Pelodiscus sinensis: one gene and its partner. The protein of the gene in region 1 purifies or fractionates together with the protein of each later gene. This does not show direct contact. Links are inferred from orthologs where the notes say so. Each region holds a gene or a part of one and is shown in the gene's direction. Other genes may lie near its edges.

What was found. The genes of interacting proteins can lie anywhere in the genome.
Region 2: the proteins of VDAC1 (region 1) and RAB2A purify together in Homo sapiens (affinity purification with mass spectrometry; 3 studies listed by BioGRID and IntAct, with this or other methods). This does not show direct contact. The link is inferred for Pelodiscus sinensis from reciprocal best matches to the Homo sapiens genes VDAC1 and RAB2A.

What each region holds. Positions count from the first base shown.
Region 1 is NC_134727.1:27,818,407-27,825,947, reverse strand, and holds the start of VDAC1 (non-selective voltage-gated ion channel VDAC1), read left to right. Parts: upstream 1-4,534; 5' UTR 4,535-4,661; exon of another isoform or gene 4,662-4,733; intron 4,734-5,520; exon of another isoform or gene 5,521-5,621; intron 5,622-7,541. UniProt on the Homo sapiens protein: Non-selective voltage-gated ion channel that mediates the transport of anions and cations through the mitochondrion outer membrane and plasma membrane.
Region 2 is NC_134712.1:61,919,065-61,926,664, reverse strand, and holds the start of RAB2A (ras-related protein Rab-2A), read left to right. Parts: upstream 1-4,581; 5' UTR 4,582-4,886; coding exon 4,887-4,932; intron 4,933-7,600.

The sequences.
Region 1 (7,541 bases):
TTCTTGCGCAAGAACTATGATGCTCCCACTCAGGAATAAGCCCTCTTGTGCAACTGTTCTTGCGCAAGAAGCCAGTGTAGACAAGCAACATGAATTTCTTGCGCAAGAAAGCCCGATGGCTAAAATGGCCATCAGAGCTTTCTTGCGCAAGAGAGCATCTACATTGGCACAGATGCTTTTGTGCAAAAGTACATCTCTTGCGCAAAGGCACATGCCAGTGTAGACGCTCTCTTGCGTAAATACTTTAACGCAAGAACTCTTGCGTTAAAGAGTATGGCTGTGTCTACATTGGCACCCTTTTCCGGAAAAGGAATGCTAATGAGACACTCCAGAATTGCAAATGCCACGGGGGATTTAAATATCCCCCGCGGCATTTGCATGAACATGGCTGCCGCTTTTTTCCAGCTCGGGGCTTTGCCAGAGAAAAGCGCCAGTCTAGACGGGATCTTTCGGAAAATAAAGCCTTTTCCGGAAGATCCCTTATTCCTCTTAAAATCAGGAATAAGGGATCTTCCGGAAAAGGCTTTATTTTCTGAAAGATCCCGTCTAGACTGGTGCTTTTCTCCGGAAAAGCCCCGAGCCGGAAAAAAGCAGCAGCCATGTTCATGCAAATGCCGTGGGGGATATTTAAATCCCCCGCGGCATTTGCAATTCCGAAGTGTCTCATTAGCATCCCTTTTCCGGAAAAGGGTGCCAATGTAGACACAGCCTATTTGCGCAAGATTATGCCAATGTAAATGTAGTCAAGAAGTTACCCTGTTGACCTGAGCACTTTGCTAATATTTGGGGTCCTGCAGGTTGTTTCCAGTAGGAGGAGAAATAGAGCGAGGTATTTCTTTAACAGTGCTATTGATTTACAAAGAACGTGCACAAAGTCCTGTTTCTCTGAACACAATAAGATCAAATGATGAGAGGCAATGTCCTTGTTCACATGTCCAAGTATGCCTTTCCAGTCATCCCAAGGTAGACTACTTCTTTTTAGAGTAACTCATAGTTCTTTGGGTTCAATTTCAAATTGGCAGTCTGAATCTTACCACAAACCATTTATACGAGTTCCTATTCAGAGGGCTTAGATCCCACCAGGATATAATCTAGATATACACCGGCTAAAGATGGGGCAGAAAACTGTTGCAAATGTCCTGTTATTGGCTGGCCCAATTCCTCATCCAGATGACTGACTTCCACTGTGGTCTGTGATCCTTTGATTTCTTTCTCAAAGTGATTTTTAGCTCCGTAAATTCCTCCTGCACCTCATTTCTTCTAGCAACATTTTAGGTAAGAGGGGATCCAAAATTAAATCACCTATTTGGTTTCCTGAGAAGACAGGGACTCGGGAATTTGCACCCATCCAAAAATGGGGGAAATTGTGTCTGAAACTTAGACTTCTATAATTAGAGCAAGAACTCTGAATAGCGGGACAGTGGATGAGGCAATAATTGGTCTGGATTTCATTATGACTAATAATTGTGTAATAAATGCCAGGAAAAGCAACCTATTAATTCACTCTGTGGAAATTCCCTTTAAAGATGTGGTGCAAGAAAGACATATAATTTTAGGCATTTGGTCTGCAGTGAGCAAGTTGTCTTGCCTCCAGCAGCATGCTGGGATAGCTTTTAAGCAAAAGGAGGATGGAGAGTGACTGAGACATGCTTTAAGATCTAGATTTTCAGAGGGATTGTAGCTGTTAAGATTCTTGAGGGTGGGACTGGCAATGGACTCCTGTTCGTTTACTAAATGTTTCTGAAAACAGCAAATATTAGAAAATGGAACCACAACTGCAAAACAAAAATCAGTGGATCTAGTAAATACTGGTATAGAAGAAATCTACAAGGAAGAAAGGGGTGAAAGTGAGTCCCCAGAGTTTGCAGGCACAGAGCAGCAGAAAAAGCAGCAGGAAACAGCAAGCAAAGCACAGATAGTGTGGCCCTAAGAGAAAGCCAAGAGGAAGTGTTTTGGGCAGAGTTCCGGCTATAAAAGGAGACTTGAGATTGTGAGCAAGGAACCTGACTTCTGTTGTTTGCTCCTACCAGGTTCAAGGAAATGGGATTTTGTGTACATTCGTTGTAAATTAACAAGACTGTATCAAAGAAATAACCTGACTGTATCACCAGTTTCTCCTCCTAATGCAAGGTCCCAAATATTTGCAGATGGCTCAGGCCAGAAATATTAACAGTACCAAAATCAACACCCCTTTCTCAGGGGACTATTATTGTTTCAAGGAATAATGTTGCTAAGCTATCCTGCACTGATTGGAATTGGACAACCAGTGCATTGGCTTTACATCTTGTCCCGGGGTGCTGGAGCAGGTTTTATAATGGGGATTCTCAGAGCCACTGAACCAAATTGTAAACCCAGTGTAGAATGCAAACCACCTCAAGCCAAAGGGTGCAGTAGCACTCCTGGCATCCCTAGTTCCAACACTTATGTCTTGCCTTGGTGATGCTGGTCTTTGATTACTGCAACCTCAGCATAATGGGTCTCCCTGACGTACACCTTGCCAGAGTTCATACAACTTGCAGCTTTTAACTTTATCTTCCATGTCTGAGCCAGCACAATCTTACTGTTGAGTGTAGTACTGACCACCACACTACATACACTTAAGTAAGTGAAAAGCTCTATTCCTGTAACTCCACCGACATTAGGACTACTGCTGGGAATGAAGATACATATATTTGTGTTTGCTGGATAAGGGCCTTAGATTGTAAAGTCCTTGGGACAGGAAGCATATTTCCTCTACACTGCATACAGTGCTATAGTCAATAAGGGTATGTCTAGACTACATGGCTACATCAACAGAGCCATGTAGATGAGTTTACTAGACATAAGAAAATGAAGCGGCGATTTAAATAATCGCAGCTTCATTTACATGAAAATGGCCGCCACGCTGTGTCGATCAACTGTTTGGCGGCATAGTGGGGCAGTCTGAACGCGCTGCAGTCGACAAAGGAAGCCTTTGTTGACCGCTCCGGTATGCCTCATGAAATGAGGTATACCGGAGCGGTTGACAAAGGCTTCCCTTGTCGACTGTGGCGTGTCCAGACTGCCCCGCTGTGCCGCCAAAAAGCGCAGCGGCCATTTTCATGTAAATTAAGTGGTGATTATTTAAATCGCTGCTTTATTTTCCTATGTCTAGTAAACTCATCTACATGGCTCCGTCGATGCAGCCATGTAGTCTAGACATACCCTAAGAGAATATGTTTCACTTTCTGGTTCTCTTACCCACAGCACTAGGGTACCCGAGTGTTCCCTGTAAGCTGACAGCTTGGGCAGCCACCCAGGAGAGATACAGGTGCCTCCCAATGGATTAGCAGAGCATCCGCAGCTGGCAGCATGCATTTCTATTGGTAGTACACATCTGCACATGCCTTGGTTTGCATAACAAAATTTATTCTGCACCTGGATGGAAAACATTAGAGGGAACATTGGATACCACAGCTGGGAAGCAGAAAGGGCAAGGGAATATTTCTTCAGTTAAAAATAGAAGTGAGAAATACACGCTCTGTTTCCACTAGAACCATGTCCAACATGCTAGCCACTAGCCACTATTTGGCCAGTTGAGTGTAGCTACTTCACTATATACTTCACTATAGCAGAACTGGTTGGACACCACAGAACTAGAACTATAAAGGAGTTCCAGACATGGGTTTTATTAGATTTATAGTTGACCTGAAATGTTTTCCTAATGCACCGGTCTGAAACCTATGGCTCTAGAGCCAAATATGGCTCAGTACGGAACCAAATATGGCTCTTTTGCAAATCCCAAATACACACAACTTTTTAAATGTAAATGAAACATTAATTCAAAATTTAAAAAAGTGTAATTACTCATGTCAAGAATTTGTTTTGTCTATTTCACCTTTAACTGTTCATGTTAATAACCATCCATCCTCTCCACTCCTTGTAAACGTCAAAAGAAATGTGCAAAAATATGCAGCAGCAGAAGTCCCATGTAAGAAAGTCCTTGAATACAATGTTTCCTTTATGCCATTATTAGTCATCATGTCAATTATTAATAAAATTAAGTTGTATATTTTCAGTCATTCAAATGGGCCTTTTTAGAGGGCTCTTTGTTGAGCACTTATTCTGAATTTTAATGTAGTTTGGCTCTTCGGTTTGAAAAGGTTGCAGACTCCTGCTCTAACGTGACAAAAGCAGGGGGGCGCTGAACAATTTGTATAGTGTGTGTGTGTGGGGGGGGGGGGGAGGCTAAAAACCACTGAACCAAATATAAACTCCTGTAGCAGCTGGAAACCCGTTGGAGCCAGAGGTGCGGGTTGCAGCACCCCGGCGTGCCCTAGACTCGGCATCCCAGAAGTTGAAGGTGGACGAGGCTTCTGGGTATCATGCTCCCCACCCGCTGCCAGGGCAGGGCTGAGCCCAGCGCGGCTCTGCCCAGCACCGGGTTAAACCCCTGGGCAGCTGCTGGAGATCTGACGAACCCCCTTTCCTTGCCAAGCCCTGCAAGAGCTCCCCACCCAGCTGCGGGGCGAGGCAGCCCCAGCCGCTCCGGAGGGGGCGGGAGTCCCGTCTCCCGTCTGTCAGGGAGTGTCTGGGCTGCTATCGCGGTCTCTCCCTAGGCCGGGCTCCTAGGTCCGCCCCGCTCCCTCCCACCCAGCTGTCACTCAGCCCGGCTACAGCCGCCGCAGAGCCCGGCGAGCAAGGTAAGCGCGTGGGCCGGCAGCGGCGCCGCTCCGCAGCCTCCTCCCTGTCTCCGAGCAGGCCGCTCTGCAGAGGTAACCGGGCGGCGGCCGGGGAGAGAGGGGGCGGCCCGCAGGAGGGATGGGGCCGGGCGGTGCCTTTTGCAAAGGCCCGGAGCTCTGTGCTGCGGCCAGGCCCTGGCAGCTGCCTCCCTTCCCCCGCCCTGGAGCCTGAGCCGGGCGCCTGGATGCAAAGGGCTGGGCTGAGCCGGTCTTCCTCCAGTCACCTTCGGGGTGGTGCAGCCATGCGGAGAGGGCGTCGGATGTTCTCGGCAGCGTGGTCCCTATTTCAGGCAGCGCCCCCGGCTTATGCCCGCCGCCAGCTGGCTCAGAGAGGGAGGGGTTTGCAGGATGGCATCTCCCGCTTCCTTCTCCACCCCGTCATCCCCCCAGAGCCAGTCTGTAGGTGACCTTCTCTCTGGGGAAGGCGTGTAAGATTTACCCTACCGCATTCTCATACAGGCCCCGACTAGAACATGCGAGTCTGCTGTCCTCCCCCCGGCGAATCCCTAGGACGGGTTACATCGCAGTGCAGGGCTCTACTAGCTGATGCAATATGTAGATTATTCTCATAGCCAGGAGAGGGATGTAAATTATTGTGCCTACAATTTGTAACTTCTCCACCAACCAGATTTTACTATTGTGCATTATCTGGACTGCATTCATCCCTGTTCTTGGTTGGATTTTGGGTGCTCATACTTCCAGGGCCTCCTCCTCCCCTTGCATTCTGAATGCCCTTAATGCCTGTTTCATACCTTTTTTTTTTCTTTTTTTTTTTTTGAGGCCTGACAGTAATAAAACATATTTGCTGTTTGTCCATCAGGCTGTTAAAACTGCAGGATCCTGAAATGTGAACTGCTTCAATTGGTCTCAGGAATGATAGGAGGAAATTCCATAGCAGCTAAGCTTTGCATGTTTTAAAATGTACGTGGAGGCAAAATAAGAATATTTTTGCTAACAATTTACTATATAAACTTTTTCTGAAATAGTGTAGATTATAATCTTTCATTTCAGATGAGTTTTGATCCTTTGAAGCATGACTTGCTATGTGACTGATATAAATGTGAGCAATAACAGGTAACAGAATTTTGGTTATATGAGGATACTTCCATGTAGTGGACAAAATTCTGCCATTAACTCTCCCTACAATCCCATTGTCTTTAATGGAGTGGTAGTACTAGCTGCTAATCAGTCTGAGAATTGTCTTTAAGGTAATTATCCTTTAACCCTTGACGTGTACATGTTTCTGAAAGCATGCTTCCTGAGATATGTGCAGCTTTTTATAATTTTTCATTTTCATATAAAGCAAAGGTCACTGGCTATATGTCTGCTTATATTGTTATATGATAGCATGACTCATCACAGAATCTTTGGCCAGTAATTTACCTTATTTTAACTGGCTCATTCCAGCCTGTTATTTTCCGTATTCTTGTGAAAAGTGGGAATGAATTGTAGGGTTTAGTGGAGTTCCAGAAGTGAGAGAAATTCAGCATGAGATATTCAATAAAACACACACACCCAACTCCCAAAATACATGTACTTTTTAAAAAAGAAGTTATTTATATGTTAACTGAATGTTAAGACTGGGTAAAGGACCAGTTTAAGAATGCTAGGGACTGAATTCATTTAACCTATGATCAGGCTCAGCCTTGTGCAGCAGCCATGAAAGTTTTTCCACACTGTCTTGTCACGTGTGATCTGGAAGAACAATTTTTGTTGGTGTAAAGTAGCTCTGTCTCCATGTATTTTCTGTCACTGGCCATCAGTTAAAGTAAAATTGGAGTGGAAGGTATCCATGCTGTTGAGTAGAGTTATTTCTAAGGATAGTGATGGAAATGTAGCCGTGTTAGTCTGGTGTAGCTGAAACAAAAAACAGGACTATGTAGCACTTTAAAGACTAACAAGATGGTTTATTAGGTGATGAGCTTTCGTGGGCCAGACCCACTTCCTCAGATCAAATAGTGGAAGAAAATTGTCACAACCATATATACCAAAGGATACAATTCTAAGGAGCAGTGATAATGATTCTGTGTTGCATACCAGATTGCTTTGTGAGGGTCAGAAATGAAGATTTGTTCATTCCCTGGTAGGAATTGTCAGAATCTCTTTGAAGAAGGATGTTCGCAGTGTGAAAACTCTTTAAAGTACAAGACCTGCTCCATTTTTACATAACAAGTCATTTGTTTGGCCCGTCATTTTCTGTATTCCTCCTGTTTCTCCCCCCTCCCCCCCCCCCATCCTGCTATAGCATTTGTCTGGTAGTGCAAGAAAGTCTGAATTGGGTATGGAAACCAAAAAGATATCCCCGATTCAGTCTTGTGGCTTACCTGCAGGACGGTGTCAAACAGAATCTAAGTAGTGAGATTGCAAAGCCCAGACATACATATTTTGAGAAAATGACAGATGAAAAGCATAGAAGGAGAAAATGGATTTAACCTATACCCCCGCCCCTAACCGCTGCAGGTACAAGCTGGCTGCTTCAGGGAGCCATTTTCCTGTAGTGTGATAGGAACTAGCAAACAAAAATACACTGGGGAACCAATTGTTACCCTCAATATTAACTAGTCAGACCCATTAATTTGAGGGCGTGCTGATGTAATAATAGAAGTATCATATGGTTTGCTCTTCAGTGCTTTGCCCAGGCATACTGTGCCCTCTGAACTGGTTACCTTGTCCTGCATTGGTCATATAACTGGCAACTCAGATATCACTGGCCAAATAAATCACTGTCTTAATTCTGTTCCCATCCTTGCTTCCAATGGTCACATTATTGCTCACTGCTTCCTATACATGTATTTGCACAATCAATTAGAGATTAATTTGTGATTTTATTTTTAAATAATA
Region 2 (7,600 bases), on another chromosome or scaffold:
TCATTAGAATATTTTCTGCCATTTCTTTTGGGGCAAAAAGAAACAGTGCCGCCACTTCTGTTTTGTGAAAAAACCCTGTTTTGCGCAAGACTCTAATGCCTCTCCCGGATCTTGTACAAAATAGGGGTTTTGCGCAAAATGGAAGCAGCTACACTGCTTCTTTTTGTGCAAAAACCCCTTCTGCAAAAAGAAATGGAAGAAAATATGCTAATGATATTGTGATTTATGCTAATGAGTCCCTCATTAGCATATTTTCTGCCACAACGACTCACAGTGTAGACAAAGCCTTAATGTCCTCTAACAGCCCAGTGAACAGTGGAAGCATTGGTAGTGCTGCTAGACAATATTGACCTCCCATGGTCCAGAAAATTCTCTGGTTCAGAACCAGTCAGGTCGTGAAGGTTCTGGACTAGAGACATTTAACCTGTACAATGGATCCATAATCCTTGAAGGAATGGATGTTGCTATCCACACTATGTTATCCATTGCTGCCACTTTACAGGGATCCATCTTATGAGATAATTGTAGGGGATATTTTATCCTTCTATGATGCTGACAGGCCAGAAGCCAGCTCCTGCCCAAGCTGCATGTATTAAGAATTGACTCTCAGCTGCAAACTAGACCAGGTGACCATATTAGTTTTGCTCAAAATAGGTATTGGTCTTATAAAACTGTACTTAGTGTTTAGACTCTATGAAAAGCTTGTACAATACACTTGTAATATCTATATTCCGTGTTATAAGGTAAGTTAAGTGTTTGTTTTGAAACTGTAAACCTCCATAGCCAGAAGAGAAAACTTACAAAATGTGAGATACTAGTTTGCCACAAGAGGTGTTATCTCTTGCTTAACTAAAGAATGCCCATAAACATCAGACAAACCACTGTGAAACATCAGAGGATGAAAGTTTTTGTTGATTCCACTCCATGAAAAAGAGACATGCCCATAAATTTGATCCAACATCTTGAACTCTGGGTGAAGGGAATAACAATTCCTGAGAAGAAACTGCATCTTTTTGATTGTCTGAACTCTGATGGACCAGAGACTGTAAAATGAAGCCAGAGATTCCCAGAGGCTGCCTCCTTGATTTGTTCTGAAAGACACTTTGAATAGACAGACCACTACAACTCTTGTCATTTTTAGGATTTAGATCAGTGGTGGGCAATCTGCAGTCTGAAGGCCGCAGGCGGCCCCCCAGGGTAATCTGCTGGCCGTGAGACATTTTGCTGACATTGATCATCTGCAAGCACCACAGCTCATAATGACCGGGGTTCTCTGTTCCTGAACAATGGGAACTGTGGGAAACAATACCTGCAGGTGAAGGGTCTGCAGGGACATGTTGGCCACCACTTCCCATAGCTCCCATTGACTGGGAACATAGAACCATGGCCAGTGAGAGTTGTGAGAGGCAGTGCCTGCTGACAGTCAATGTCAGGAAAATGACTCAACCCTGACAATCAGATTACCCTGATAGGCGACACGACCATTGATTTAAATGGTAACTCATTTGTATGCAGGCAATCCCCGACTTATGACCACACGTCCTGCAACCCCCCGCATTTACAGCCACCCTGCTTCAGGAGCCATGGGGCCGCCTACTGCTTGGCACAGCCCCTGGCCAGCTCTGGGTGCCATTCGCACCACGTCGCGGGGCCACCTACCACCCGGCACAGTCCCCAGCCAGCTCAGGGTGCCATTTGTGCTGCTGGCTCCAGGAGACTACAACTCCCAGGAGGCAAAGCAGGCCAAGAATGGAACCTCCATTCATAACATTGCCCCTATGGACATTAAGTGTTCAACTTACAATGGTTCTCCAGGAACCAATTAGGTCGTAAGTGCGGGGGTCACCCGCCCGCTCTTGCACAAGGAAATTTACAGTTCGGCATGGTGAGAGAGGGCTCCTTGCGCAAGAGTTACACTCTTTTTTATCAGATGTAAGCCCTCTTGAGCAGGTGCTCTTGCACAAGAGGGCAGTGTGTACACTCAGCAGGGATTTCTTGCACAAGAAAGCCCTATGGCTAAAATGGCCATCAGAGCTTTCTTGCGCAAGAGAGCGTCCACACTGCCATGGGAGCTCTTGTGCAAAAGAACCCTTGTGCAAGATGTTCTTGCGCACGAAGCCACCAGTGTAGACATAGCCTACCAGTTTGGGGTGTCTGCCATGTTTTTGTCATACTGCCCTGATGTAGGTGTGTAGCCAGACACAAACCCCATCTTGTTTTTCCACGAACCCCATCTTGTCGTCCCTCCCCCCCCCAGAGAGCAAGAGAAAGGCAGTCAGCCTTTGATGCCCTGGGAACGCAGGTGTGCTGCCTGTCCCTGACTCTACCATAAACAGAAACCAGACAGTAAATGGGCTAGCTGACGACCCGGGGCCTCCTATCACCCTGATGGCTAGTACCAGTAATTGACATGCCTGCACTGTCCCAGGAGAGGAATCTTCGCCCATCACATACCAGAGGTGCCCATTGTCTGCATTTTCCCAGGTGTAAATTATGCTTTGTACCCTTAGTGGGAAACTTGGTGTTCAAAGCCATTTTTCCTAATTGGCCACTTGAGACCAGGAAGAAGCCTACATGACCCAAGGGGTATAAAAAGAGGTTCCGCTGCCCACCCCATTTGAGCTCCAATCATCTATACCTGCTGGCAGGTATTGATTGTCTCCCAAGGTCTGTGGGACGCCCAACCTCGCCCTACTTCTTCCCGAGGGATTGAGAGAAAGACGCTGGCCACGCCAAGTCTGAAACGCAGGGGTGAGAATATATACCTGCTATGTGTCTATTTTGCATGCATTTAATAAGAGCTCAGAGAACCAAAAGGGTTTCATGGTACCTGTAAGTGACTTATTAGTGTAATTTCTGTCCTGTCCTTTGTAGTGGCTGTGTTATCTGTAACACAGTAGTAGCATTTAACAACTAAGTTTACCCTGTAACAATAAAATAGTAACTGTTTAAGCTTTAACCTAACTCCTTCAGTTGCTGTAACAGAACCAAGCACAATCTAAAAGAACTTCAGCCGGTCATAAGGGACTCACTGCCCTGACCGTCGGCTGACAAGGTGTTCCTGGTTGTAAGCAACTTAAAGTGTGACACCCTCCTCTACATAAGAGCCACAGGAGAAAAATACAGCTACAAGATTAGGGAAAGGGATCCTGCTCTTTACTTCCTGGTAACAAAATTTAAAAAGATGGCCACTTAGAGCAGTGATGGGCAACCTAAGCTAGTGAGTGGTCTACGTGAATGGCTGTTTTATCCTAGTGGACTGCAAAATTGTTGTAACCAAAACAGTCTTCTGGGATAGGGTCACTTTTATAATTGCTCTTACTTAGAAGTTGCAGGGTGTTCCAATTGAACTGTAGCAGCTCTTTGATTGGATGGGAGCAGAGGGAGCACAGGCTCTCACATTCAATGTTGCGTGCAATCAGCATGCACCTCACTTCATATGTCCTTACTTTATGTTCACGTCACTTTAGTGATACTGGTAGGAAATAAAACCTTATGTAGATGGGGAAACACAAAAACTGGTAACCAAAAACTGGTAACCCCATGGGCAGCAGGCCACCCACAGAACTCTGATGGGCAGTAGATCACAGATTTAGCATATGCCCCACACTACATGGCTATGTCTACACTGGCAGGTTCTTGTGCAAGAACTCTTGTGCAAGCACATGTCCACATTGCCATGTGCAAGATGTGCTTTTGCACAAGAGCATCCATAGCAGGGTGGACGCTCTCTTGCACAAGAAAGCTCTGATGGCCATTTTAGCCATAGGGCTTTCTTGCATAAGAAACACTTGCCGCGCATCCACACTGCCTTCTTACGCAAGAAGGCTTACACTTGTAAAAAAAGAGTGTAGCTCTTGTGCAAGAAGCCCTCTCTTACCACACCGTACTGTAAATCTTCTTGCACAAGAGAGGGTGGGTGCTCTACAGGTTCTTGTGCAAGAACCCGCCAGTGCAGACATAACCCATGTGTGCTATAGTAGCATAGCTGCAACTATGTGGCTGTAGGGGATTGCTTCAGCGTTTCCATCACTGCAAGAAAATCCATCCCCTTGAGGGGGAGAATTCGTCCAGTAACGCAGCGGCGTCTGCGGTTCGAGCGCCCCACATCATGGCACTAGGCACGGAATCTGCCCCGCCCTGAGCGCTGGAGCTTGGGTGGCTTCAGTCTCAGGTGCAGACTAGGCCTCTCTGGGTCAAGAGCCATCTGCGTCTGGCCACCGCCTAGCACGGCGGCCTCCAGCCCCTGGGCGGCACCGCAGTCGGACCTTCGCCGCCAGGCCGACCAGTGACACTCCGGGGAGGGCGGGGCTCTGGGATCCGCGGCCCCCTCGCGGCAGGGGGCTGCCAGGGTTGTCCCACGCGCAGCGAGCGGCAGCGCCGGGCAGGTGAGGGGGCTGCAGGGGCAGCCAGGCAAGGCACCTGCCTCGGTCACGGGGCTGTCGCGTCCCTCTGCCGCCCCACGAGCCTTCCCCTCCGGGCCCCGACCAGTGGGCGCAGGACTCCTCGAGGGCGGGGTAAGGCTCGGAGCCGCCCGTCATACGGGACCTGCTCGAGCACCGGCTGCACTTCCGGGTCAGCGGGGGGCGGGGCGGAGAGGGAGGTTGCCTTGCGTGACGTTGCTGAAGGGTTCGGGCTGCTGCCTCCGCTGCCTGTTATTGTTCCTGCTCTCACGGGCTGCCGCCTCCGCACGCTGAGCCGCCCGAGAGGAGGGAAAGGGCAGGGAGCCCGGAGGAAAAGGGCTCAATTAGGTGGCCGTTAACGGTTTCGAACTGTCCGCAGCGCGAGCCCTGACAGCAAGGGCGGGGGGAGAGCGCGCGTCACTGAGGAGCGAGCGAGCGAGAGACCGAGCGAGAGGCGGCGGCGAGGGCGGGGATTGGGCGGCCATGGCCTACGCGTATCTCTTCAAATATATCATCATTGGGGACACAGGTACGCGGGGCAGGGGCGCGGAGACCCTTACTGCGGAAATGGGGAGGCGGGAGAGCGAAGCCCGACCCCGGCTGCCCCATTTCCGCAGTGGTGGCGTCGCCGACGTGGTGACTCCGGGTGGGAGGAGGCTTCCCCCGCCCCTGCGCTCGGCAGCGGGCCCCGCCCGTGGCTTTGGCCTGTGCTCCTCAGTCCCGCAAGAGCCCGCGGTGCCAGGCGCTGGGGCTTGCTCCGGGCCCGGCCCTTCGAGGTGGGGAAGCGGCCGCTGCCTGGGGACAGCCCTGGGGGCGGGCAGCGAGTCATGCCGCAAAGTGCGACAGAGACGCTGCCATCCACGGGGTCAGCGATGCTGTTCCGCTGCCCAGGCCTTGCCGAGGCCTCCTCGCCCAAGGAGCCTCCCTGGCGCTTCGGGGCTGAAACTGCAATTGCCCCCCACACGCAGTGTAACCTCAGCACCAGACCGCCATGAAAACCCGCCATTCAGCCAGACCTGGGATTTGCCAGGCACCAGTAATGCCTAGTCCAGCTCTGCTTCTGTCACCCCGTCTCCTGATTTAGAGACTTCAGATGTTGCCTTCTGCCTGGTCTCACTTGGGCCCTTTCTCTTGGTCCCATAGTCGCTGGCAGTGCTGTGGGAAATCTCTAGCTTGGAGAAGCCACTGTCTATGCAAATAGCTAGCCACAGATGTTAAAATTAAGCTTCCCAAATGATGTGCTCTGGGGATATGGTGGCTGGCTTGCTTTCCTCCCCAGTGTGGGCAGGGCGTGTAGCTAATCAAAATGCCACACAATCATTTGTCTTGGTGAGGTATCATATTTGATTACTGTGAAACCAATTGTAACATAATCATGGCTAACTTTTAAGAACAGATATATCATGTATTTATCTGACATCTAGCTAACATCTAAGTACTTTACTAAATATAAAAAGGCTTTTTACACTAATGTGGCGTCATAGCTGCATCACTCTATATTCAGTTCAGTTATTGTTTGTATAAATGAACCTGATCTACTGCTGGAGTTGCTGTTCATGGTGTAAATATGTTAATTTCTCTGAAATAAGTGGTTTCTTGGGTATATGGCTCCTATTCTGTGTAAAGCTTGACCTAAGATCTTGAAATATACTCTGCAAGATGTGTTTCAGAGGTAGCTGCGTTAGTCTGTTTCAGCAAAACAAGGAGTCTGGTGGCTCCTTAGACTACCAATTTTATTATGGCCTATGCTTTCGTGAGTTAGAACTCACTTTGTTTCACTTCATGCATCTGATGAAGTGAGTTCTAACTCACAAAAACATAGACCATAATAAAATTGTTAGTCTTTTAAGTGTCACCAGACTCCTTGTTTTTTCTTCAAGGCAGTTGATGGTGCTATTCTGTGTCTTTAGAGATCAGAAACTGTGGCTATTATTACCGCATTTGTATTGGTTCCACATGCCCTAAGTCTGTTTTAATTTTTAAGGCTGATAGTATCACAATCTGACAGAAGTCTAAGATGGAGGAAAATACCTGTGAAGGAAGCAATTTATTAATTTAAAACAAACTATTATAACTTTTCAAATTCATAATTTGTGATGAAAACTTATAAAGGAGACAAAATCATGGCTAAAATTAATTTGATTTTAACATAAAGAGTTCCCCTTGAAAAGGTATGAGAGCCGTATTTCTATAAATGGCTAAAATAGGAAGGTGGAAAATCTTTTGTGAGTTTGTGGTGTTTAGATCTCTTGTGAACACTTGAAAAATTCTAGTGTTGCATCTAGAAACCAGCTTACCTGCATTAGTGTTTGCATACTGACCCAGAGATTATTTCAATGATTTTTCATGTCTTCAGAGTCACATTGGTTATGTGGTGATTTGACAGTTACTTTTAAATGTGTTGTAAAAAGAAAAAGGGAGACATTATTGGACTCAATCAAAAGATTAAAATTAAGTTGATCTCCATTGCTCATTCATGAGAGAGAGCTGGTTATGCAAGTAGTAACACAAATAGGATGCATGTATACCAAAACTGCATGTCTCTGATATGAATCATGGCTCTGAGTGATTTTATTCACTAAGGTTATGTCTACACTATGGGACAAGGTCAAATTAAGATACTCAACTTCAACTACATTAATTGCATCACGGAAGTTGAAGTACCTTAACTCAACTTTTGGCGCTTTCCGCACTGCAGGAAGTCGAAGGGAGAACACTCTTTGTGGAAGCAGAACTACTGGCGTCGACTGGAGTGCCCTTCTCAGTTAGTTAGCTGTCTTAACTAGACGTGCTAATTTGAACCATAGAAGAGCAACAGTGGCAGTTTCAATCGTTCTCTGTAGTGTAGACATACCCTAAGTCCGTGGTCACCAACCAGTAGATCGATCTACTGGTAGATCTCAGGGGCTCTAAGAGTAGCTCTTGAGCCCTCTCTGAACTGCGCACCTGTGCAGTCCATTTAGATTAGATTTCCTCATTTGAGGAGCAGCTACTCACTGAGCAACAACACAAGTGAGTAGCTGCGAGGAATGATGGGAGCTGGGAGGTCGGGAGGGCTGAAACACCCCAGCCAGCTGACTGGCTTTCAGCTGAAAGAGGCTGCCCCATGCTCCAGCTGATCGGCGGCTTCTCCTCTGCACCTGCCCACGTGGAGCTTGGTGCACCCTGGCTGAGCGCCGTGGCCAGCTGGCCGGGCA